Arabidopsis thaliana: one gene and its partners. The protein of the gene in region 1 interacts with the protein of each later gene in a biochemical or structural test. Each region holds a gene or a part of one and is shown in the gene's direction. Other genes may lie near its edges.

Evidence for each region.
Region 2: of the proteins of TUA1 (region 1) and PHS1, one has a biochemical effect on the other in vitro, tested with the Arabidopsis thaliana proteins (one study listed by BioGRID).
Region 3: the proteins of TUA1 (region 1) and AT4G14330 form a complex in vitro, tested with the Arabidopsis thaliana proteins (one study listed by BioGRID).

Annotation. Positions count from the first base shown.
Region 1 is NC_003070.9:24,047,653-24,054,778, forward strand, and holds TUA1 (alpha-1 tubulin), read left to right. Parts: upstream 1-2,353; 5' UTR 2,354-2,461; coding exon 2,462-2,574; intron 2,575-2,734; coding exon 2,735-2,949; intron 2,950-3,461; coding exon 3,462-3,661; intron 3,662-3,733; coding exon 3,734-4,242; intron 4,243-4,327; exon of another isoform or gene 4,328-4,328; coding exon 4,329-4,644; 3' UTR 4,645-4,835; downstream 4,836-7,126. Other genes in the region: CP5 (Polyketide cyclase/dehydrase and lipid transport superfamily protein), read right to left, coding at 1-52, 135-311, 388-544, 650-885; DSS1(I) (deletion of SUV3 suppressor 1(I)), read right to left, coding at 5,135-5,265, 5,621-5,743, 5,967-6,060; AT1G64760 (O-Glycosyl hydrolases family 17 protein), read right to left, coding at 6,568-7,126. UniProt on the Arabidopsis thaliana protein: Tubulin is the major constituent of microtubules, a cylinder consisting of laterally associated linear protofilaments composed of alpha- and beta-tubulin heterodimers.
Region 2 is NC_003076.8:7,995,459-8,004,826, forward strand, and holds PHS1 (dual specificity protein phosphatase family protein), read left to right. Parts: upstream 1-2,738; 5' UTR 2,739-2,850; coding exon 2,851-2,892; exon of another isoform or gene 2,893-3,047; coding exon of another isoform or gene 3,048-3,062; coding exon 3,063-3,140; intron 3,141-3,230; coding exon 3,231-3,373; intron 3,374-3,508; coding exon 3,509-3,710; intron 3,711-3,782; coding exon 3,783-3,959; intron 3,960-4,063; coding exon 4,064-4,224; intron 4,225-4,706; coding exon 4,707-5,802; intron 5,803-5,947; coding exon 5,948-6,094; intron 6,095-6,211; coding exon 6,212-6,439; intron 6,440-6,538; coding exon 6,539-6,696; intron 6,697-6,778; coding exon 6,779-7,136; 3' UTR 7,137-7,390; downstream 7,391-9,368. Other genes in the region: AT5G23700 (coiled-coil protein), read left to right, coding at 1-60, 137-197, 293-468, 619-748, 826-962; AT5G23710 (DNA binding / DNA-directed RNA polymerase), read right to left, coding at 1,070-1,762. UniProt on the Arabidopsis thaliana protein: Probable dual specificity phosphatase that binds and dephosphorylates MPK18, modulating the organization and dynamics of cortical microtubules.
Region 3 is NC_003075.7:8,240,865-8,249,389, forward strand, and holds AT4G14330 (P-loop containing nucleoside triphosphate hydrolases superfamily protein), read left to right. Parts: upstream 1-3,188; 5' UTR 3,189-3,363; coding exon 3,364-3,972; intron 3,973-4,048; coding exon 4,049-4,204; intron 4,205-4,295; coding exon 4,296-4,403; intron 4,404-4,492; coding exon 4,493-4,603; intron 4,604-4,703; coding exon 4,704-6,041; intron 6,042-6,134; coding exon 6,135-6,422; 3' UTR 6,423-6,630; downstream 6,631-8,525. Other genes in the region: AT4G14315 (uncharacterized protein), read left to right, coding at 130-309; AT4G14320 (Zinc-binding ribosomal protein family protein), read right to left, coding at 977-1,161, 1,858-1,879, 1,964-2,038, 2,188-2,367, 2,939-2,941; CKI1 (casein kinase I), read right to left, coding at 7,668-7,907, 8,023-8,159, 8,424-8,487. UniProt on the Arabidopsis thaliana protein: Probable plus end-directed motor protein that may contribute to the transport of Golgi-derived vesicles in the phragmoplast.

The DNA of each region.
Region 1 (7,126 bases):
CCCATATACGACGGCCTATAATATACTCCCTGTCGCTACAAAAGAAGGGGAACTGCAACAGTAGCGGAAGATATGAGTAAAGAGAAGGGAGAAGAAGCAAACAGAACGAAGAAAAAAGAGAAACAAGTAGCGACCTTTCGCACCCATTGCACAACCATAGTGCCCGTGTCCTTGCAACGCTCGAGAGTAGAAGAATACAAAAGCATATCATCCCACTTGGAACGGAACTCATCATCCCAAAAGAAGTCCCTGACCATCTCGGGAGTGGCATCCTCAAACACAGTTCTGCTACGGTACTGGGGAGGCCCATTCTGGCATCATACAAAAAATGATTCAACTTGGAGGAACATGTTAAACTAAACTTAAAGGAAGGAGGGAGGGGGGTACCTCAGGATCTCGCCTCCAAGCTTGATATGAGAAGGTTGGGGTTGATCGGTCCATCATTTGAATCCAACAAGGACCGCCATCTTTGACCTCAACCAACTTCCATAGATGCCTAAAATCATCGTCCGTTACAAACCCAGTTTTCTCTTTGGAAGAAAGGCTGCGACCCAAAGAGAAGCAGAGTTATTTATTTAGCAGAAGAGTAAGAAAGAAAGAGAGACAAGTGGGGAAACGGGTTACATCAATGAAATCATCTCAACCTTACCTGGGGTTAACGTGGTGAGAAGAAGTTTTGAGGATGGAAGTGGGAAGCTGAAGATTGAGGAATTTAGGTGAATTGGACAAGAGTTTAGAATCGAGATAAGCCCACTTGGGCCTCCAAACCCAACCAACCAAAACACCGGCAGCCACAGCAATCCAGAGTGGCGCAACAAAAACTATAAGGTCAGAGAAGCCGAGGCTGTGAAACTCGGTAAAGACCAAGGAACTCAATCCCATCATCTCGCCCCCTCCCTCCGATGGTTGGGTCTTGGGAGATATTGAAGCGCTGGGAGGAGTCGAGGAGACCAAGAGATTGAAGAAGAAGGAGAATAAAAACGAGAGAGAAGAGGATAAGGATTAGAATTTGGGATTACTGTAGGCCCAATTTCGGCGTTCGATGCAATCTTCGCCTCTCGTTTCTATACACACCTCTCTCTCAATTTTATACACGACTACCATTACCCATTTCTTTAATAAGTGGATAAAAAAAAGACCAAAGTGTTTATTACTGCCTGTCTCCACTCGTTTCGATTCTGTGGTCGCCGCATCCCTCCCTCCCCCTTCTTTTTTTCTTTTCTGTTTTGCTATTATATTTGCTGCTACCATTTAAAATTTTTAAGATTAAAGTCTTTATAAAAAAAAACCTTTTATTAATTAAAAAAGATCTTTTGCAAAACTAAGCATATTTCATAACTTAAAAATATAGCATTAGAATAGATTTTGTATATAATTGGTCATATAATCGTGGTTACATAGATTCTTTTTCTAAAAACTCTTTAATTGAAAGTATAAAAAGATTAGCAAATAAAATAAAAAAACTTTAACTTTTTACATATGTAAATTAAAATTAAAAGTATCTAAATTAAAAAATAAATATAATCTTGTATGGTGTTAGAAATAAAATAAAAATTAGAAACAATGATAGCTATATGCCATACTTTCCAAAATAAATTTAGAACCAAATTCTTACCATGATGAATTCTTTGATTTTCAACCCATATAACAATATAAGATATATATATATATATATATACATGAATATAGTGGAAGATGATGAGAGAATTACTATATATAAGATGTAATTAAAAATAGACAGTGCAGATTTATTTTAAAACAAAAAAAAAAACCAAAAAAACAATGTAAATTTCATAGTCTAAAATTAAAATTTAGAACTAAGCTTTTACAATGATATTTTTAAACTCATACTACGACAACAATAAAAAAAAAACTTAAAACTAAACAAAAAAATAATATTTGAGATTTGAGATATGTGGAAGGGGATGAGAAAATAAATGAACGAGAAAATGAGTATTTTTTATTTTATTTTAGAAATGTTTCATTTTTTTTGACACAAGTTAATTTTTTTATAGAAAATGTTTAAAAAAATATTTAAGATTTGAGATATGTGGAAGGGGACGAAAGAATAAATAAACTTTACATGTGATACAATGTTATGAGTTACTGATTTTAAAAATTATACTTTATTTAACAGGATGATTTCAATTGGAAAATTTAAAAGTTTTTTTTTTAACTAAATGTTTTAAAAGTTTTATGGGGGAAAAAAGAAGAAAACAGAAATGGAATGGATTAAAATCCAAAAAAGAAAATATCGACCCAGGATTGGTGAATTCTTTAATTAGGCATTTCGAGCGGAAGAGACTTTTCGGGGCCGGCCCCTTTTTAAGTTCGTCCAGTCCATTCCAGCTTTTTGTCCTTTCACATCTAAAAGCGGGAGAGCCAACAAAACAACCTTCTTCCTCGCGAAAACAGAGAGAAAGAGGAAGAAGAAGAAGAAGTCTCTGAGAAATTTTCGAACATGAGGGAGATCATTAGCATTCATATCGGACAAGCTGGTATTCAGGTCGGAAATTCTTGTTGGGAGCTTTATTGTCTCGAACATGGTATCCAACCCGATGGCACCATGCCCAGGTCTTTATACTCATCGCTCTAGTTTATGACCATCTTTATTGTTTGTGGGTTCGAATTTTTGTTCTTGTTATTGTTATTGACATGGCTCTGATGATTTAGGGTAGTAATAAAAAAAACTTTGACAAGTTCATGTTTTTTAATAATTGGATTTGTTTTGCAGTGATAGTACTGTTGGTGCATGTCATGATGCATTCAACACATTCTTTAGCGAGACAAGCTCAGGCCAACATGTGCCTCGAGCTGTGTTTCTTGATCTCGAACCAACCGTCATTGACGAAGTAAGAACCGGCACTTACAGACAGCTTTTCCATCCCGAGCAACTTATCTCTGGCAAAGAAGATGCAGCCAATAACTTTGCTAGAGGCCATTACACTGGTTATTAACATTTTCCACCTCTCTTGTTTTTTTATAGTATTCTTCTTAGCCTTACTAGATTGATCCACCTTCAGGGGTTACCGAACATTGCCATTTTAAACTGAAAACATATGTTCTTTCGTTTTGTTTTACGGTAACTAGCAAAACATTGGACATTCTTAAGTATGTATGTCTGAGTTTTGAGTTTTGTACTAGAGAGTCTAACAAAGCTAAGACAAAATTTAATAACGTAATTGTGTGAGCTTTAATGCAATTTTATTCGGTTGTTGTAAATTGTGTCATGTGTTTTCGTGGTAATACCGGGTACTTCATATCTAGATAACTATTCATGTATAAGCTAACAAGTAGGGTATCAATGTCCAAATGATTGCTTGCCATTGTAACAAAGAACTCTGTCTTCTTTATTTGCTTTGCTCAAAATGGCTCTGTTTCATCCATTGCTTATGACGAGAAACGGCATATTTAACCATGACTGGTTCATATGGTATTGAAATATTTTTCCATTGATGCAGTTGGAAGGGAAATTGTTGACACCTGCCTTGAAAGGCTGAGGAAATTGGCAGACAATTGCACAGGGTTACAAGGATTTTTGGTATTCAATGCTGTTGGGGGTGGAACAGGTTCTGGTTTGGGTTCTTTACTGTTGGAGCGCTTGTCCGTAGATTTTGGAAAAAAATCAAAACTCGGTTTCACCATCTACCCTTCTCCTCAGGTAACCTTCCACAGATACTTAAACTCTTCACTGCAGAAAGATAAAATGTTCAAACTCTTTTCTTGGTCTCAGGTTTCTACAGCAGTTGTGGAGCCGTATAACAGTGTTCTCTCGACTCATTCTCTTCTCGAACACACAGATGTTGTTGTTCTTTTGGACAATGAAGCCATATACGATATCTGCAGGAGATCTTTAGACATTGAGAGGCCTACATACTCCAATTTGAACCGCTTGATCTCCCAAACCATCTCTTCGCTTACAACTTCTCTAAGATTTGACGGTGCCATCAATGTGGACATCACCGAGTTCCAGACCAACCTTGTACCTTACCCTCGGATCCACTTCATGCTCTCCTCTTATGCACCTGTGATTTCATCTGCAAAGGCCTACCATGAGCAGTTTTCGGTCCCTGAGATCACGACTTCCGTCTTTGAACCCTCCAATATGATGGCTAAATGTGACCCTAGGCATGGCAAGTACATGGCTTGCTGTTTGATGTATCGTGGTGACGTTGTGCCCAAGGATGTCAATACAGCCGTTGCTGCCATCAAAGCCAAACGAACAATTCAGTTTGTTGACTGGTAAAGAGCTCACACTACTAGTGTTTCTTTCTCTCTTAAGTCTCCTTCTACTACACATTTCAAATCTTTGGTCATGTTAAAATTAGGTGCCCAACTGGATTCAAGTGCGGGATAAACTACCAGCCGCCTTCCGTTGTTCCAGGTGGTGACCTGGCTAAGGTTCAACGAGCGGTTTGCATGATCAGCAATAATACTGCAGTTGCTGAAGTGTTCTCACGTATAGACCATAAGTTTGATCTCATGTACTCCAAAAGAGCCTTTGTCCATTGGTATGTAGGAGAGGGTATGGAAGAAGGAGAGTTCTCTGAGGCTCGTGAGGATCTTGCTGCCCTCGAGAAAGATTATGAGGAAGTTGGTGGAGAAGGAGCGGAGGACGACGACGAAGAAGGCGATGAGTATTAGAAAGACACAAGAGTGTGTGTTCCCTTGTTTCTTTCTTGTGAAGTACAGTAATTATGTCTTTGTGAATGTGATCTCTACAGTTATTTTGTGATGTTTACGGGTCTCTCCCCTTTTATTTCTCATTTGTGTTTACTAAAGGATTGCATTTCTAGTGCATCTCAATACATAGTTTGAAGGATTTTTGGCATTTCAAATACCGTTTACGCTCTAATAAAGATCCTTGTAAGAAAATGTACATAGTAAGTTAGTAACTAATCCATGTCCATACGGAACACACCGCAATGGATGTTGAGAGAAGATGATGATCTTACCAGTTTAAATTTATCATCTTCAAAGATAAGAAATTTCCATCCAGGGAATAGTAAAATGTGCAAAGGAAAAGCAGAACCGATAACATAAACCAAAGGATGCAGTACAAACAAAGTTCCAGATCATAAAAGAAAACCAAGATTTCCTAAATGTGAAGACCTGTCTTTCACAATCTTCGACCTTATTTCTTGTCAGTACCATTCTCAAGCTCCTTCCTTAACTGACGTGAGAAGTCGTCATTGACATCATCATCATCCCAGTCATCTTCCCACTGCTGGCTAACTTCCTTCACTTCTTCTTTCTCCAACCAATCTGCCCAACATAAAAAGATCCATCAGTATTTACTTTGACCGTAAAAGGACAGCAAAAACATCCATTCCACATCCAACTACACAACTCATACAAACAGAAACCCTCTTTATCAATTCTTTCAATAAAACTATTAGTAAAATCACAAAGCAAAATCTGTTAAACCTTTAGGCTACTCAATGCCCTCAAATAATTCCCAAATCCTCAATAACCTTTAGGCTTTAGTAAATGAAGCGTTGACTATTAAGACTAAACCTAATCATCAATAAGTTGCTGAAAAAAACTGCTCTTTTATCCATTTAGTAAGTATGAGACTATAGCTTCATTGTTAGAACTATATGAAAAAAGATCTATCAACCTATCTCACACCTGAAATTGACATCAAACAGATTCGTTTTCATATCAGACCTACTCAACTCATACACTAGTCCATCTTTATCAATCCTTTCAATACAACTACTAGTTAAATCTGAAGAATCAACTAACTTGCAAATCAAAATCTATTAAAATCAGAATCTGATACAATTCATACAAATAATTCTCAATTCAACCATATAAAGCATTGCCTGTATCTATCAATCAGTTGCTAATGAAAATCGCTCTTATATCTATGGCATCGTAGCTTCATCGTTAAGACTATAAAACCGATGATGAATCGATTCAAAAATCGAAGAAGAAACAAGTAATAACAACAAAAATTTTACCTTCGTTAATTTCAAATTCCTCGAACTCATCGTCGTCCTCAAACAGATCCATCTTTACTACTTCAGCAGTCGCTGCCTTCGGTTCTGCCGCCATAGTTACAGATTGTTAAAGGAACCAACCAGATCGAGATAACCTAAGAAGAAGAAGAGGAAGACGAAAACTCGATAAAATTTTCCAAGTTATTATTGCAAAAGCATGGAATTGATAATGATGAAACCCTAACCTCTCTGAGAGCTTTAACGAGAGAGTAAGCGAACTTTTGTTTTTCTTAAGAGAAGAAGCAAATAATAAAGGGAAGGTTTTTTCTTTTTGTATAGAACCGGTTCGACCGTGTTTTCCTTTTTGTGAATTTGTAAAATTTGATGGTTTTCTATTTATTTTTTAATTGCTAAAAGAAATTGTAACATTAATGAATTTGTAAAATAAAACTGTAGTGTAAAACTGTATTAAAATATCGATAGAACAAGTATCTGGATATTCCGATTTATCTAGGATTCAACTTCTAAGAACATGGACAAAAGAATCATTGTAATATATATATCTGTAAGAAAACAATTAGGCTCACAAAACCTCACTAAGTTCAACAAATTCAATCTAACCTCAAAACATCATCCCTGATAACAGAAACCAAACGATCAACACAACCAAAGAATAAGACGAACAAGAAAAAGAAGAGGCTGAGGAAGCCACAATCTGAATAGGGAAATTGCATTGTCCTTGAGATATATTCTGCGTTGTAATGGTGGCCAAACCTTGAAAATAGCAAGCACTCTCATCTTGATTCTTCACTTGAAAGAACATGTTAAACGCATACGACGCGTTTCCATTTGCATCAAGAGTATTGCAAGAAGATCCGTATCCAAGCGCCGTGCAATCAGAGAAAGTGCAGGCGTAATCTATATTAGCCGCGAGTTTTGTCAAGTCCTTGGCTTCTGGATTAAACGTACACCACTTGTTGGGTAGATACGGCACGTTTTGTGCACCAATCAAGAACTTACTCTGTCCTTGACCTGAAAGATCTATAGGAAACTTTGGTTGCCCGTCGAATTTAAATATTCCCCAATGGCGTTCGAACGGTCCCGGTGCTATACTTTTTGCATCCTCGTCGAGTAATCCGAACAAGTATACCTCAATGTAGGTTGGTCTCAATGGAGTTCCT
Region 2 (9,368 bases), on another chromosome or scaffold:
GGAAATATCGAAAGTATGCTTTCAGTTGAGATGGGTTTGAGAGAGCTGGCATCCTTAAAGGTAATATACCATTGTTTCTTTACTTTAAGGTATCTTCAAGTACATAATTAAGTTCTCATATCACAACGAAATTTAGGTTGAGGATGCTGTTATGCTTGCATTCGCACAGAAGAGAACACCGAGTTTGGTTCGTCAAGGTATGTATGCTATATCATCAATTAGTACAGTGTCAAATATAGTCTGTTTTTACTAGTCATCGAGATCAATAGTCTGTTTTCTCCATATCTTACAGATTCCAAAGGGCATGGAGAACTCAGTTTTGTAGAATCATACGGTAAGAGAAGAGAGTCCAAACATGCACAATATATCATATCAGCAGTCAAACTTGATGAAATCCTTACTATGTTATCACATTTCTCAAATGCAGAGATAAAAGAAGGGGAACAAGAAGATGTTGCCTTTAAGCAGGTAGTTTCTTTATGCCTATAATTTCATAACTATAAGGTTATAATGTGACATTTTGTTACAAGAGATGGTAATTATTGGTATATTGTGGTTGGTAACTAAATTTATCGCGATGAATCTTGATGAACCGACGTTATTTGGTTATAAATGCAGGCATGGCTTATGTACTTCTGGGGTAGAGCCAAGTTGCATAGTGTGGAAGAAGACATTGCAGATGAACGTTTCCAGTTTTGGACCAGTCGTAGTGAAGGAAAATCTCCGACTTCACAAGATGCCGTTGACGGTAATAAACTTCTTCAATTGATTTCCCCTGTGTCCTAATTCTAGTTTTAATAACACATTAACTTGTTCTCTTTACAGTGGAACGAGGTTTGTTAGAGCTAAGGAAACTAGGAGTAGAGCAACAATTATGGGAAGCTTGTCGCAAAGAAACAGATCAGCTTCTTCCATCTTCTTCTCCGACATCTACTCTTTCAAATCACAACCTTGACTCTTAATTTAAAGATATCAATAGCATTATTCTCTATTGTATAACCGAAAAAACAAATCATCATAATCTAAAATCTTAAGTTTTAAACCCAAAAAAAAAAAAAAAAAGAGAGTGCTAAAAGTCTAACCATTTCTGAAAATAAACACATGTAGTGGGAGAGATAACACCATCAGGTGAACAGATCGCTATATGCGGACAAACCCCGCAAGGAATCGAAGCAAAAGCTCCAGCTCTCGGTTCGCCATTACCGAACTTTTTCCCGGTCAACCTGTAGCAAACTTCTCCGATTCTCGTAGAAGCAAACTCATTCATTCCATTACTCTTCACCTCCATGATCAAATTATCCAAAATCAAGTTCTTAAGTATCTCCTTAGTCTGATCAACACTCAGCTTCTCCTCTTTAACAAAATACCCACACAAAACCTCCAAAGTAACAACCCTCTGCCTATGCCTCTCCAAAATCATCACACACTTGGCTTTCAAATCTTCGATTTTCGACAGGTCAAGAGCTCCATCAGTGTACCATTCACCACCAGTAAGTTCACTACAAGGCTCAAACTCCATTGCAAGATAATGTTTGACACCTTTGTTGTTCATGTTTGCTACTTCTTTGATGAGATTCTTCTTCCGTAGAGAAGCGATCAATCGAGTAACTATAGTTGCTGGGATCGTTTTCTCGCGTTTCAATTCGAACATAGTTGCGCCTCTTCCTTGGTTTATTCGAATCAGATCCAGAAGCTTCTTCTCGTGTGGCTCGTTTAGATCACCTCCCGATGATTTCGGATCCGGACGTTTTCGTTTACTCATTCTTACAAATTCACCAAACTGCAAAAATCAATCGGAATTGTGACACGGTAATTGAGAGAATTCGTGTGATTTACGAAAAGGATTGATCTATACTATAAGAAGGTGATAAAATCGATGATTCTGAGATTACAAAGGATTTTGGTGAAGATTCAGATTCAATTTACCTGGAGATTGGTTTACTGGAGATGAACAATCCGATGAATATAGAGGCTTTAGGAGAGTTCAGAGAACGGAGAAGTCGTCCGTGACTGGAACGGATACGAAAACCCTAGGTCTGCTTTTAGCTAAATATATAAGACAGAGAAGAAAGTCAAATATATTAGTGTGGGCCTAAACTAATACACAACAAAAGGTAACTCGAAGTGGATTGGTACATATTGTTCAGGATTTTTGTTAATTCAATATGAGATTTCGCTATACAAGTTGGTTTAGATAAAAACATGTAGATTAAAAATATTTATTTTTAAAAAATTCAATTTATTTTTTAAAAATAGAAATAATTATAAAGTATTAAAATAATATATAATTTGCATAAAATTTTGAAAATAATTTATATTGTAAAACAAAAAATTTGGTCCAAAACAATTTATATTGTAAAACAAAGAAAGTATATATTTTTGATTTTTTACTAATATTTATGCTTATTAATTTTCAGAAATAAGTTGACAAAAAAATTCTATAAATATTTTATTTTATTAGACTGAACTTTTTCAGATTAAACCATAAACTTTAGTGAATATTTTTTAAAATCTAAAACCATTTTTGTATAAATGTTGTTGATTTCGACCGAAATAGTTTCATACAAAATATAGTTTTAAATAATAACACAAAACGGAAATAAAATAAAATTAGAAGACAGTTCTGTAAATAATAATATGTTTATTTTTTTAAATCTTGAATAATGAGAATAAAATGATCAGAGTCTTTATTACAATAATAAATTTATGAAATTAAATATCCGTCTTCTTTCTTCGTCCGACAAGTTCATATTAATTAAAGATACCTTGAGACTTTCCTCTTCTCAGATACAAAGCTGACATTTGAAGAAAAAGACATTTCTAAAATTAAACAGAACCTAAGCTTTTGCAATGGCGGAACCTGAGAAGAAGCGAGATCAACCATTTTCTCAAGTAATCATCCTTCATTTTTCCCCCACAAATTTAATAATCTATCATTATCACCCCCACCTTTTGCGTTCATCATTACCCCCACATTTATCTCTCCCTCTTTTCGCAGAGCCAGATTTTGATTTTGATTTTTTCCCCTTTTTCTCTGATCTGATATTATGGTGCTATCGCAGGAAAAAGACGAAGAGAAAGATCTATACCTTGTTCACGACGAGCACGAGTCTCCTCTTCCTCTCACCGTCACTTCTCGTGTAAATTTCTCCGATCCTAAATTCGTTTTAGGTTTTAGGGTTATATTAATAGTCTCGTCTTAAAAATTGGAAGACTTTTGGAATTTGCAGGTTTTGTACATGTTAGGAGATATAGCATCTGGTCCAGCTTATAGGTTTACTCAATGGTTGGATTTAGTTCGTAAACGAAGTGCTACTTACGGATCCTCTGGCTTCCCTCACCGCCTTCACCGCATCGATGATATGGTCACTAGGTTAACACTTTCTCTGACTTTTTGTCAAGTACTTGGTTTGTTGATTATGATTTTGGAATCTTATGAGTATATCAGAACAAAGGTTTCTAAATTAGGATATTAGTCTTCATGTCAGTTGATACAAGTATTATCCAGTGCAGGAGAGAGGAATACTGATCCTAAAAGTCCACCAAGTAGGCAGAGTTCAGAGATTAGTTTGTGGGAAAGGCTTGGTAAAGCTTCTACTGTGGATATTGATTCGAGCTGTTTTTCATGGAATATGTTGTCTTCACTTCATCATACTGAACATAGTAGTAGCACTGATCATTCTGAAGAAGACCAGAGTAAACCACTTGAGGTATATATATCATTATGATCTTGGACTGGTGATGCTAGGAGGATCTTTTGACACTATTAGATGTCTGTACAGGTTACTGTGAATTCTGGAGGAGTTGTTTTCTTTGCCCTGTTCAATAGTTCCAGCTCTGAAGATGCCTCTCGTAAGGAAGAAGCAGCAGTTATTAAATTTGCATCATCGAGGATGGCCACGCAATCAGAACGTCTAGGTTATGAGTTTTCCAAGTGGCTAGGGGTGCAGATTCCGCAGGTGCTTCTTTTCTTTCTTGTAGTTTTTTAAAAATGTAGTAATGGTTTTGCTCATTTCACTTTCTTTCTAGAATTTTCAAGTAATGAGTAATCATCATGCGACAGGCTAGAGTAATTCACAGCTGTAATCCTGAGTGGACACTGATCAAAGAAGCCACTGAAAAAGCACAAGCTAAAGCGACTTCGGAGGGGGACGAGGTTGGTGAAATGACATGTTCAGAACTTCTGGAAGCCCTTGAGCTCAGCCGTTGTCTTCTCTTAATGAGGTGAAAGCACAAGATTCATCTTTATTCTTTATCACTTTTCTCCATTTTTTACTTGGACCAGCAGCATAATGTTGACAGTTTTTTTGTTCCTTTGCATTAGTGTTTAACTAGATGATAGTAAACCATTTGAAATATGAATATACCATTTGATAATATATTTTAAGAAAAATAAAAGATGTTATGTTATTAGATATAAAAATTGTATTATAAAATAAGAAAGATCTAAATTACAAATATGAGGTGGAATTATTTTATTGGATAAAATTTGATAACAACAGTTAAACAGAAATCTAATCTTGCTTTAAATGATAATAAATATGAGAGAAATAGCTGAACAGAAATCTAGTCTTACCTAATAGGATTATGTAAAATCTAGTCTTACCTAATAGGATCATGTAGGCACTTTCAAATTTACAATTTTTAATGTGATGTTTGTATAGAACCCCTCTTCTTAGCCCAGGATTCTCTATATGTGATTACAGTTATGTTCATGGATGTCCAATGCTGGAGAGCATGAGTAGTTTTGAAACTGAAGAAAAAGCAGAGAGAGCTGCTGCAGCTCTAGGGAGAATCTTGGTGTTAGATCTAGTAATTAGGAATGAAGACAGATTACCGTGTCGTCAGCTGAGATGGCGTGGCAACCCGGCAAATCTGTTACTGACAGACAGAATTGTGTCTTCTGCAAAGCATCATGAATGTTCATTTGATGAAGCTTTTGATTCCGCCATCAAACGGTACCATCCAAAGGACTATAGATCCATTCAAAGGGAAAGAAGAGCTTCTTCCGTAGATAGCAGATCCAGGTTGAGTATCAGTGATCAAATGTTGGTCTCACAGGCTTCTGATTTTTCTGATATAACGGAATCACCTAGATCATATGATACTGGTTTAATGAGTCCAATGTCTGATAGATCAGTAGCTGCCGATTTTCACCTCGTTGCCATAGACTCGGGTGTTCCACGGCGGCCTCCTGCTGGAAAACGGGCAAGCGACCAAGAAATTTATCCAAGATTAGTTGAGTTACTCCTCAATAGTAGCCAATATTCTTCGAATTTGTTACATGAAATAACAGAAGGAAGTTTAGGATATCCACAGGCAGAAGATGGTGAAGAAACATCTAATGTTCGATCTGTAGTAACACCAGTTGTACGCGAGTTTCGAAATGGTTTCCGAGCTGGTCTCAGGGATTTGCAAGAGTTTCACATCTTCCTTGTCACCCTTCATCAGAAATTAGATGTGTTGCTTCGGGCATTTTTTAGTATGATGGACAAAACAATGTGTGCAGATTTTGACAGAGAAGACTTTGCTGTTCCTGAGTCACCTTCACATACTCATGGGCATGAGGTGAATCATTATCCATCTCCCTCAAAAGATCGGGTGCCTAGTGATAACAGCTCTGATCACAGTGAGTCAGATATGCAAAAATCAGTTCCTAGGACACCAAATTCAGAAAACAAAGAAGACGGGTCTTCGCCTAAGTCACGTGAAAGTTGGCACGGAAGATCCGGTAAAGGTGGAGAATCTCTTAGCAGTCAGCGTTTGGCAGCAAAGCTCCGTGACTTCCATAAGTTTGCAAAGGTTTGTCGCTTCGAGCTTTGATCACTATGTTCTAATTTGTAAAGTAGGTTCAGATTTTTTATAAAAAAAAAAGTTTGTCTTCTTGGATGGAAGTTCTCAGCCATTTTCTCTTTCTTCACTCTCAATATTTTCATGGTGCGTCCAGGTTGATGCTGAGTCTAATAAAGAACTAGACCAGTGGAATGAAACACTGCGGAATGAAGTGATGAAACTTTGCCAAGAGAACGGTTTCAACACTGGTTTTTTTGAGGGCAGTGATAATAACAGTTGCACAGATGCTTATGAGCTAAAGGTATCATGAAGTTTTATTATTTCCTTTTATCCTGAATATGATCTTCATTATATAATATAGTTTTTGGCAACTGAACTCAAACATTGTCTCTCTTGTTTGCATTCTCCTTGATAACAGGTTAGACTTGAGCATATTCTTGAGAGGATATCATTGATTAGCAAAGCTGCTAATACAGAGAAACCATCAATGATACAAGAAAATCTTTTTATCGGGGGAGGATTGGCTGCAAGGTCGATTTACACTCTTCAGCATTTAGGTATAACTCATGTTCTATGTTTGTGCGCTAATGAAATCGGGCAATCGGATACTCAATACCCGGATCTCTTCGAGTACCAAAACTTCTCAGTAAGTGAACCTGTCTTATATGTCTCTTAAAAGGAATTGGTAAAAAAAAATGCATCTATAAAGATGATCGTTTTCTTCTTGTGTCTTCCCTTTGACCAGATAACCGATGATGAAGACTCAAATATCGAGAGCATCTTTCAAGAAGCTCTCGATTTCATCAAGCATGGCGAAGAAACTGGTGGCAAGATTTTAGTTCATTGCTTCGAAGGTCGGAGTAGAAGCGCAACAGTAGTGCTTGCTTACCTAATGCTCCAAAAGTAAGTTGTTGGGGACAAATAAAATTTGTTGGAAATTTTCAATACTTGTTCTCATTTGTTTACTGGTGGGAACAATAAATAGGAAGCTCACACTTTTAGAAGCATGGAGCAAACTGAGGAAAGTTCATAGACGAGCTCAACCGAATGATGGATTTGCGCGGATCTTAATAAACCTCGACAAGAAATGTCACGGGAAAGTATCAATGGAGTGGAGACAGAGGAAACCGACAATGAAAGTGTGTCCGGTTTGTGGAAAGAACGCAGGTCTAAGCAGCAGTTCTTTGAAGCTTCATCTCCAGAAATCTCACAGGAAACTGTCTTCGGGAAGTGTTGACAGTGCAATGAACATGGAGATTCAAAAGGCTTTGGAGGCTCTTAAACTCAGCACTGGCCGTGGCTCAAGTGCTAGTTCCAATTCTTTCCAATCTCATCCTGGTTAGAGAGTCCGGTTTGGTTTTATCTATGGTTTGTCCCGGTTAAAGTCTCTCTAATCGTACATCTCTGAACAAAAACATTGATCTGTTTTGTTTTGTTTTTTACTGTAACGATCTTTGTACTTGTATACGCAAGTAAATAAAAAGCCGAAAAGCTGAATAGAAGTCACTGGGAAACGTCATAATAAGCTAATGTAACATTTGTAACTCTTTTTCCCTTGTGCTTTGTGTTAAGAAAGTAAGATTTGGCCCAAAAATGTCATAAAACTAAAAAATTGATTGCGTAATCAAACAAAAGTTCCCTTTCATTTTCGATATAATAAACTAAAAAAATTTGACATTCTTTCCGGCGTGCACATTGATGAAAGTGAACTCTTGTTAACTTTCATTTGTGACTTGTATGGAGTACAAGACGTGCGTGATGTGCCAGACGACGGAGAAAGATGAAGGAATCATGAGGTGGTATATGTATGAAGAATGGCTATGGAAAGCAGACAAAGTAAAAATTGATTGAAATATTGGGGAACATAAATGCAAATCTAATTTGATGTTAAATCTATGTGGGAAATCTGATAACGGTGGATCGTCTTTGTGGACCAACTTGGTGTTAGCTTTTTTTCCAACTACTTATTAATTTATCCATTCCTTTGTTAATGACTAGTCTCTCCTTTAAGTCATCCTTTAAGTTGCTTTTGTATCTCCACTTTATTCTCTGCCTTCTTTTTCATGGGAAAGTTGCACATCAGAAGCACCAATGAACTTGTAATGAACTCCTTCAAAAAAATTTCTGATATTATATCTTAAGCGATGTCCTCTCTCCTACATTTTTGTTTGTTTATTGTTTACCAATTTCTTGAATAACAAGTTAATTTGTTTCTTCAAAAAGTGTAGAAGCCCACTTTTGTAACGGACGTTAAGATTGCGCTTTAGTTGGTGAAATTTTATATGTTAGGTAGTTCACGTATTTTGTTGTTTGGAGAAATATTAATAAATGGCATTAAATGGAAATCGAATCCATTCTTTGAAGCAGTGTGGGTCCAAACATGGAGCACAAGTGTTATAAAAGACTTGAGGCTGAGAAGTAACGAAGAGACATGAAAAAGAGGACAATGACCAAAGGTGGTACATAACACACGTATGACTCGTCCTTACTTTGCTGTCCACAAAATTCTCTCATAAAACTAAAACCTACCACCGATTTTTTCTCCTCTCTCTCTCTCTCTCAAAATCTGCCCCGGCTCTTCTTTATCGGACGCGTAGTATCAATATCGATATTTTAACCCCGTGATCTATGCTTATCTTTTCTTGGTTATATGGTTATAGAGAACCGTTATCTGTTTTTGATACCTGTAAATAATATAATAGAAATGCTTCTTAGACCCGACATTCGTAAATAATATAATATCGAGAATCAAATAAGTTACATGATTCGGATTTTCATTAGGAATTGGACAACTATCGAGAATGGTTATGGCATATTTATACATGTTGACCACTTATTTGTGAGTGGTTATTATCCCGGATATAAAATGATCATCTAAGTGAAAATTTTTGAATCCGTCCAAACATTTCTACTATTGATCCGAATGACAAAATCAAGATAAACTAGTACTCCCTCTATTCATAATAGTTTGATGTTTTGGATTTTGACGCTTATTAAGAACTCAATTATTGTTTAATCATTTTAACATTTTTCTTAGTGTTATAAGACAATAAAAATAAAGAAAAATGCTAGAAAATCAATTTTTATGAAACAAAAAACAAAAGCTAGAGCATCAAACTTTTAGGAACATATGGAGTATTTGGTATCAAACGATTTCGTCTATACGATATGGCAATTTTAAGCGTATATGTCTCTTTCTAGCTTTGAAAGTTGATTTGATATAGAAGAAAATTGACTATTCTGTAAAATAAAAAGATTGTATAAGTGCATTGAAGCCATGAAGGCTATAATTTATTTATATTTTTTTTGGTGAATCAAGCAATTGAAAGTAACCAGATAGGAAAATGCTACGTCTTTTTCAATCACATCGTCGAAAGTTGTACATTTTCTAACAACAACAAAGTAATTCAAATCAAATCCTAAATGCCTACTACGATTGTAAAACTAAACAACAACAAAGTAAGTTAAAATTCAAACGTTGATAAGAAACTATTTACTTTGTTAGTTTTGGTGTAGGAAAAAGTAAGTGGTACAAATAGACGTTTTGTTTTTGGTTTTTAATGTTTCGGTGTTAC
Region 3 (8,525 bases), on another chromosome or scaffold:
GTTGTCTTCTACTTCTCGGGGAAACGACACAACCGTAGATTTGATGTCTGAATCTGTGTATATATAACTTCTCCAATTAGAGACACTAACACAGAATTGATCACTACTCCTATCGAAAAGTAGACGAAAATGGCGAATGAGTATGGATTCGGGATGGGTTCGGTTTTGGCGATTGTTGTCGTTGCACTAATGTTACTGTTTGTTCCGTTGATGATGGGACCGGTGACTGCACCATCTCTTCCAATGATCTTGATGTTTCCGGTCGTATTGCTCTTTGTGTTTCTCTATCTCCATTTTACTTCCAAGTGATCAAACATCAAATCTCTTTCTATTATTATCGTGTAATATGCAGTACGTATTTATTTCGATAGTATTGCTCTTACGTTTTTGGTTATACATTTATAAAAACAAAAATTGTATTTGTTCTATTATATACAATATATCAATTGACTAACGCATGCGCAGTTGGTTTGGATCTCTATTGATTTGCAAGTAAATTTTTTGGATTTATCTTTCTTTCTCACTTCGTTTCTTACATTATTAGAGAATTTGACTTACATCGCGATGTATGTTTTACAAGCAAGTAGAATCGATGCCACTTTCCTTAGATATTAGCGTAGTAGACAATGTCAATGATCGAGAAATATACACAAAAGTACCTAACTTTTGTCAGCATGAACAGATTTGAATGATATTACGTAATTGTAGAGAAGAAACTTACCTTAAAATTAACACCTCTAAAAGGTAAGAATGTGTTAGTAGAAAATGGCTATTCATATTGTAAAATTAAAAGGCCGTATAATTAGTACAGAGGAATTCGACTTGGAAACAGAAAATTAGAGATTAAATAAAACACGAATTTTAAATAACGGAAATAAAACTTTAGTGTAAATTATCTATACCCATAATATATATAGTACCAGAATCTAAGTATAATAAAGTAAAAAAAGAAAAACTGAAGTAGCATCCTTGACCGTCACCACATCTTCCGCCGCTGGCTGCCTGGCTCCACCACCACCACTACTACATTCACCGGTTCATTGTCAATACCACCACCAACAGGTCCTTCTCCTCTATCACCACAGCAGCCAGGACCACCACAGCAGACACAAGAGAATATCATCTCATCTACCATTTTGCCCGCACAGCTCTCAATTAAAACTAACACAAAGGCCAAAACACATAGGACTATCATGGTAATATAAAAAGAGTTGTTCATGTTCTCTTTTGTGCAATAAGGAGCCAGGAAACATGTTCTTCTATTTATATAATTTGGTTTTATTGTAACACATTAGTTTCGGGTCAGCTAATGGCATGATTATCATATAGCCAAAATAGAACCTTCATTTTCCATTCACGTTGCGGGGAATATAGAACCACCAATATACCGAGGAGAAACTTCTGTATGCTCTTAAGAAATTTAGTGAAAGTTAGTATGGCTGAAGTTAAAAGAAGAAAACAAATAATATTTAGTATTATCAATTCATTTCTATACGTATATGTCATTTTAATTTGCCAAGCTCATATATAACACTGATTTGCAGCACAAAACGATAAATGATTTTTCGAGATCCGAAAATAGAAAGTGGTTTTTAGAACTTAAAGAGTGTTATGTCTACTTTGTCGCAAGTTATAGAGAATACTCAAGGGCAGCCTAATGAAGAAAGATTGGTTAACCAAATTAAAAGACATCCATAAGACCAAGTCCTATTTAAATTAAAAACCAGGACCATTTCTGGTAGATTCAAAGTATATCACAGTATTGAAGCAGGACAGGTACCAAACAAAACAAAAAAAAGTAGATAGATGAAACAACAACTTAAAAGAGAGATGTTCCCTTTCCCTTCTTGTCTCCACCGATCTCAAAGTGCTTGCACCTCTGCAAAAACCACACACAAAGTGTAAGAAACAGAACTGAGACTAAAGAGTGATTAACAAAGGTAAAGAATGTCGCAGACATTACCTTAATCGGGCGTTGCGAGAAATGCTTGCAGCTTTGGCATTGAAGCCTCAGCACAATCTTCTTAGTTGTCTTAGCCTGTTCCAAAGAAAGACAAATAATGAGCAAGGTCCAATTAACAAATCATTCCTATAAGACATATTTCACAGAGTCAATTCTGAAATCCTAAATTGGTTCTCACATAGAAGACAGTAATTAGAGATCAAGACAAGGAAAAGCGAGTATACCTTCTTGTGGAAGACGGGCTTGGTCTGACCTCCATAACCAGATTGTTTACGATCATAACGACGCTTTCCTTGGGCAGCAAGGCTATCTTTACCTTTCTTATACTGCGTCACCTTGTGCAAGGTATGCTTCTTGCACTCCTTGTTCTTGCAGTAAGTGTTCTTAGTTTTCGGAATGTTCACCTACAGAAAACCAAGTTTAAAACTACCACAAGATACAGTTTCAACAGCATACAGAATTAATTACGATCATAGAAGTGAATCTAAATACGCCCTTCAGAACAAACCCTAAAACTTGTTAATAAAATTTCCTGCTTCTCCTAAATCATTCAGAATTAATTGCTACCATACGATCTGACTACTCAACTAGTCAATATTGATAACCATTTTGTGAATCCTACAAGTCCCTGAAGTACAAATCCTTCTTAATTCTCCTAAAAATCAGAACAGAATTGCAGCAACACAAATGAAGATACATAACACTATATCATTTTGAATCTCTGGTAGATTGGAGCTAAAACTCTTCACAGAGACGAAGTGAACTGAATCTTCGAATTTACAACACAGAATGCAACATAACAGATTCTAAAAATCACAATTAGACTCTAATAATTCTCGATTTAAGATGCAAAATCAGAAATAAACAACTTAAAGAAGAAGAAAAATCACACAGCAGATCTATAATCAATAATCTCGTTCTTCAATAGTAACCAAGGAGAAATTTAGCAGAAATAAAGAAAGAGAAGAGAGTCACCATTTTCGCTCTTCGGTGAAGCTCGTGCCGTCGTCTTCCACTGCCGCAAAACCTTTAATAAAAACCTAAAGTAACAGAGCTTATAAGAGAGACATTTGAGAAAACCCTAATACTACAAACATTGGGCCTCTATAAACACAAAAAGCCCATTAACTTAATCAAAAAGTCAGGCCCATCTCACTTCCCTTTTTTAAAAGAAAGTAAATATATTCTAGTTGCCGAAAATAAAAATTGTTAATAATCAGTGGCCCGTGGACAAAAACTAGCCGTTTAGAGATACAACACAACGGTTATGTTTGTTTCTTTGTTTCAAACTTCAAACCTCGTGAATCACTCACAAACCCTAATCCCCTTTTTCATTTTCTCTCTCTCTAACGCTCTCTGAATCTCAATTTCAATTTCACTCTTTCGAAACTTCTTCAACAATGGCACCGACACCATCTTCTTCAAGATCAAATCAAACTCAATACACCTTAATCAGAACTCCACAAACAAAACAACGTCTCAATTTCCACTCAAAAACCCCAAACCCAGACGGATCTAAAGATCCATCTCCACCGGAGCATCCAGTTGAAGTAATCGGCCGGATCCGAGATTACCCTGACCGGAAAGAGAAATCACCTTCGATCTTACAAGTCAACACAGATAATCAAACGGTACGAGTCAGAGCTGATGTTGGGTACAGAGACTTCACACTCGACGGTGTTTCTTTCTCGGAGCAAGAAGGTCTTGAAGAGTTCTACAAGAAGTTTATAGAAGAGAGGATTAAAGGAGTGAAAGTTGGGAATAAATGCACGATTATGATGTATGGACCTACTGGTGCTGGAAAGAGTCATACTATGTTTGGTTGTGGGAAAGAGCCTGGGATTGTGTATCGTTCTTTGAGAGATATATTGGGAGATTCTGATCAAGATGGTGTTACTTTTGTTCAAGTTACTGTTCTTGAGGTTTATAATGAGGAGATTTATGATCTTCTTTCGACTAATAGTAGTAACAATTTAGGTATTGGTTGGCCTAAAGGAGCAAGCACTAAGGTAAAGTTTCTTGATTGATAACTTTAGTATACATTGAATTGGCTTTAAAGGTGTGTACTTTGTTGTTTTGTTACAGGTGAGGCTTGAAGTAATGGGGAAAAAGGCGAAAAACGCAAGTTTTATTTCTGGGACAGAGGCTGGGAAGATTTCTAAAGAAATTGTCAAAGTGGAGAAACGGAGAATTGTGAAGAGTACACTTTGTAACGAAAGAAGTTCTCGGAGTCACTGCATTGTAAGAACGATCTTCTTGATTGATGTGTATGCATAGCTTTATGCAGCTTATCTCTGTTTTAACTTACTAGTGTGGTTGTTTCTTTTTGTAGATCATACTTGATGTGCCAACTGTTGGGGGAAGATTGATGCTTGTTGACATGGCTGGTTCTGAAAATATAGACCAAGCTGGGCAGACTGGATTTGAAGCTAAGATGCAAGTAATGTTTCCTCTCTCAATTTGTTTGATTCTACTAAAGTTATTGTAGTTATGGATATCAACTGACTTATATCTCTCATTATTCAACAGACTGCTAAGATCAACCAGGGAAATATTGCACTGAAGCGAGTTGTGGAATCTATAGCAAATGGAGATTCTCATGTACCCTTTAGAGACAGCAAGCTGACCATGCTTCTCCAGGTGAAATTCTTGTTCCATTGTTTTATCTTCTGGAAAATGTTTTACGTGTTGCTTGGTTTTCTTGAAGATATTTAGTGTTGTTTCTATTCTCTGAATGCAGGACTCTTTTGAAGATGACAAGTCAAAGATTCTAATGATCCTGTGTGCGAGCCCGGATCCAAAGGAAATGCACAAGACTCTCTGTACTCTAGAGTATGGGGCAAAAGCAAAGTGCATAGTTCGTGGGTCTCATACTCCAAACAAAGATAAGTATGGGGGTGATGAGTCTGCTTCTGCTGTGATTTTGGGATCAAGAATAGCTGCCATGGATGAGTTCATTATCAAACTCCAGTCTGAGAAGAAGCAAAAAGAAAAAGAAAGGAATGAGGCACAAAAGCAGCTGAAGAAGAAGGAAGAGGAAGTTGCTGCTTTAAGATCTCTTTTAACACAGAGGGAAGCTTGTGCTACCAATGAAGAGGAGATAAAAGAGAAAGTAAACGAGAGAACCCAGCTTTTGAAGTCGGAACTAGATAAGAAACTTGAAGAATGCCGAAGAATGGCTGAGGAATTTGTTGAGATGGAGAGAAGGAGAATGGAGGAAAGGATAGTTCAGCAGCAAGAGGAACTGGAGATGATGAGGAGACGGTTAGAGGAAATCGAGGTTGAGTTCCGCCGCTCAAATGGAGGAAGTGTTGATGAAACTAGTGGGTTTGCCAAAAGACTCAGGAGTCTTTACTCTGATGATGATCCTGGTATGGTGAAGTCAATGGACCTTGACATGGGTGATCCAGAACCTGTCAAGCAAGTGTGGGGAGCTGTTTCACACCAATCAAGCAACACTATTAGTAGCAACTTCACTAACCTTTTGCAACCGAAGCCTTCAGAGAATATGCTTACACAGATGTATCCTGACCGGGTATGCTTGAGCACTGTCTTTGAAGAAGAAGAAGTTGAAGAAGAGGAAGAAAAAGTGATAGTCGAGGATAAAAGCATCTGCTTGATAACAACACCAATGCCTAGTTTGAACTCTGAAGGTTTGGGTAAAGAGAACTGCTTCAACGGTGCAGATGACAAGGAATCAGCCTCGTCTAGAAGGTTGAGAATTCAAAACATTTTCACCCTTTGTGGCAATCAGAGAGAGCTGTCTCAACACAGTGGACAGGAGGAGGATCAAGCCAATATTGCATCACCTGATAAGAAAGACAATCAGTTCTTTTCTATTACGAATAAGGCCGAAGCACTAGCAGTAGAAGAAGCAAAGGAAAACAATATCTCAGTCGATCAAAGGGAAAACGGTCAGCTAGATATCTATGTTAAATGGGAAACAGCTGCTGATAACCCTCGAAAGCTCATAACAACACTGAGAGTTACAAAGGATGCAACACTAGCTGACTTGAGGAAGCTTATTGAGATCTACCTTGGATCTGATAATCAGGCTTTTACCTTTCTCAAGCTCGGGGTAATAAACTTGAACCAACAAGCACAAAAAGCTTTTCATTTTTATCTGTTTGTTATGCTCTGATCCTAAATGCAGTTATTTCAATGTATGAAGGAACCATGTGGAGCTCAAGTGGCAAAGGAGAAAGAATCAACAGTTCAAGCTACGAGCCTACCTCTCTGCAACGGACACGCATACCTCGCCACTTTGAGACCAGGAAAGAGCTCACAACATAAAAGTCTTCAACCTGCAAGCCCACTTCCACTTAATCCCATAGAAAACATGATGGAAGTTACCCCCATCTCAAAAGTGACACCGAACCATCAAGTTGATGAATTTTCATCACCCAATCTCGTAGCTCATCTCAGCTCCACTCCATTCATCACTCTCAGAAGACATTAGTCGCTATGTCTTGTTTTCTCTATTCTTCTTTTGTCTGTCCAAAGGTAGCTTTTGAAAGATGTAGCAGCCTTTGTCTATTTCTCTGTGTTGAGAAAAAAAAAACTCTTATGTACGACCACTTTTGTAGCTATATATATGTTCTACGATGTTTCAGCAGAGTGGTGTTTATCAGAACGTATAACTGGTGTTTCCCAAAGGATGCTTAGTTCTACTTATAACATATACATAAGTAGAGAGAATGCTGCAGCCACATAGAGCTACTTCTTACCTCTCTCTGTCATTGTAACATATGGACAAATTCCAAAAGCCCTATTCAATTCCAACCCCAATATCTTTATGATCATCATCATAACGTGAACACCAAAAACAAGGGCAAAAATTTCAAAGGCTCTTAAAAATAACAATATCCCGGAAGCAAAGATTACCTGCAACTGCAAGGGAAAGCCAAGCCCTATTATAGAAAAGCAACTTCATTAGTTAAGCCCTATCTCTCAATATGCTCACATGCATGCATTGACCAAATGTCTTCTTTTATCTACAGGTACTCAGTCACTTTCTTAGTTACACACTAGATTAACTCAATTCTTCTGCAACCTCATTATCTCCAAAGTAAAAGACCACTGTTATTGATGTTTTTATGGATAATATATGATGATTCATCTTTATTACATTAGCTGAATACAGAACAACAACCAATTAACTCAATTATTTTGAAAGATGTATGTAGCCTGTCTATTTCTCGGTGTTGAGAAAAAAAACGCTATGTACGACCACTTTCAGCAGTCAAAGTGAGTGACTAGAGCCATCAGCATGGAGTGTTTTTCAAGTTGTACAACAAGATTTGTCAACAAAGTCTAAAACTTTCTTTTATTCGACCATAATATGACTGACTAGGCACGTTGGTTTTCGATATACAGTTTAAAAGGTTGGAGAAGATGACTAGATGAGATAGGTTTTCATATTTTACTTCCACATCGAAGTTTTAGAGAACAGAAAGAGGAGAAAATTGAAGTACACATGAGACAAGTTACACTTTAAAGCTTTATTAACAGATTCTTTTAAAAACAGAGACTGAGAGATTGGGAGAGGCAGATTACATTAACTCTCTTTCTCTCTCTCACTTTCTCATCTTGTTCCCAAGGTTAAAAAACAATTCGAGGACATGTCTTTCCTATTTTCAGAGGAGAGAGCCATCAGCACCGAATGTTGTCTTTTCACTCTCATCAAACTTCTCCTTCCCTATCTTCATTTCCTCTTCTTTCCAGAGCCGATGGTAAGGAGCTCGAAGTTTCTAATGGCATCCTCATGCCCAGGCCTTGCTGCAGCTGCAGATTCATAGCTCTGTGGAACCCGTTGGGTTGTGGCATGACGTGAACCACTTGAAAATAGTCGGCTTGAGTGGTTCTCGCTTGGTTCAGCTGATGAGCCAGGTCTGGTGCTTGATATCACACCTCTCTTTGAGGTACTTCCATTTCGAGACTCGTGCTGCAAATGAAGCCAGCAAATCAAAACACACAAACTTTCTCATGTTCTGATTCCCTACTTATTCTGAGAATTACTTTGGATCATTACAACAAGAGAAATAACAACACAAACTAACCACTTCCTTGGCAGAAGAGGGTATATCATCAGAAGATCTGTGTCTAGAGCGATCACCAAGAGCGCCTTGGCTTGAAACATTTCGTCTGGTGAATGCCTCAATTGCACCTGTAAATCTTCCTCGCAGGTCCTGTCCGACTAAACAGAATAGGGAAAGAAGTTCTCAGTTTGAGATCTTCCACTATTCAACAATTTAATTAAATCTCTGGACACAAATTCAAAATCTTCTAAGGGAAACAACATATGAATGTTAATATCTGAAGGGTCAAGTGAGATAGTGCACGTTTTTCAGCACCCAAAATTGTCAACACTGTCTCATAAATTTACAACTTAAAATAAACTTTTTGATATATCTCTTTGTATTCGTCCCTCCAATATAAGAGACAGAGAACATCAATGTACCTGTAGGCTTTTCAGCTCTTTCTGCAGGTGGTCCTGGAGGGTCCAACGCTGGTCTTGGAGTTGGCTGTTGTAAATGATAGACACATAGCAGGATAAGATTTT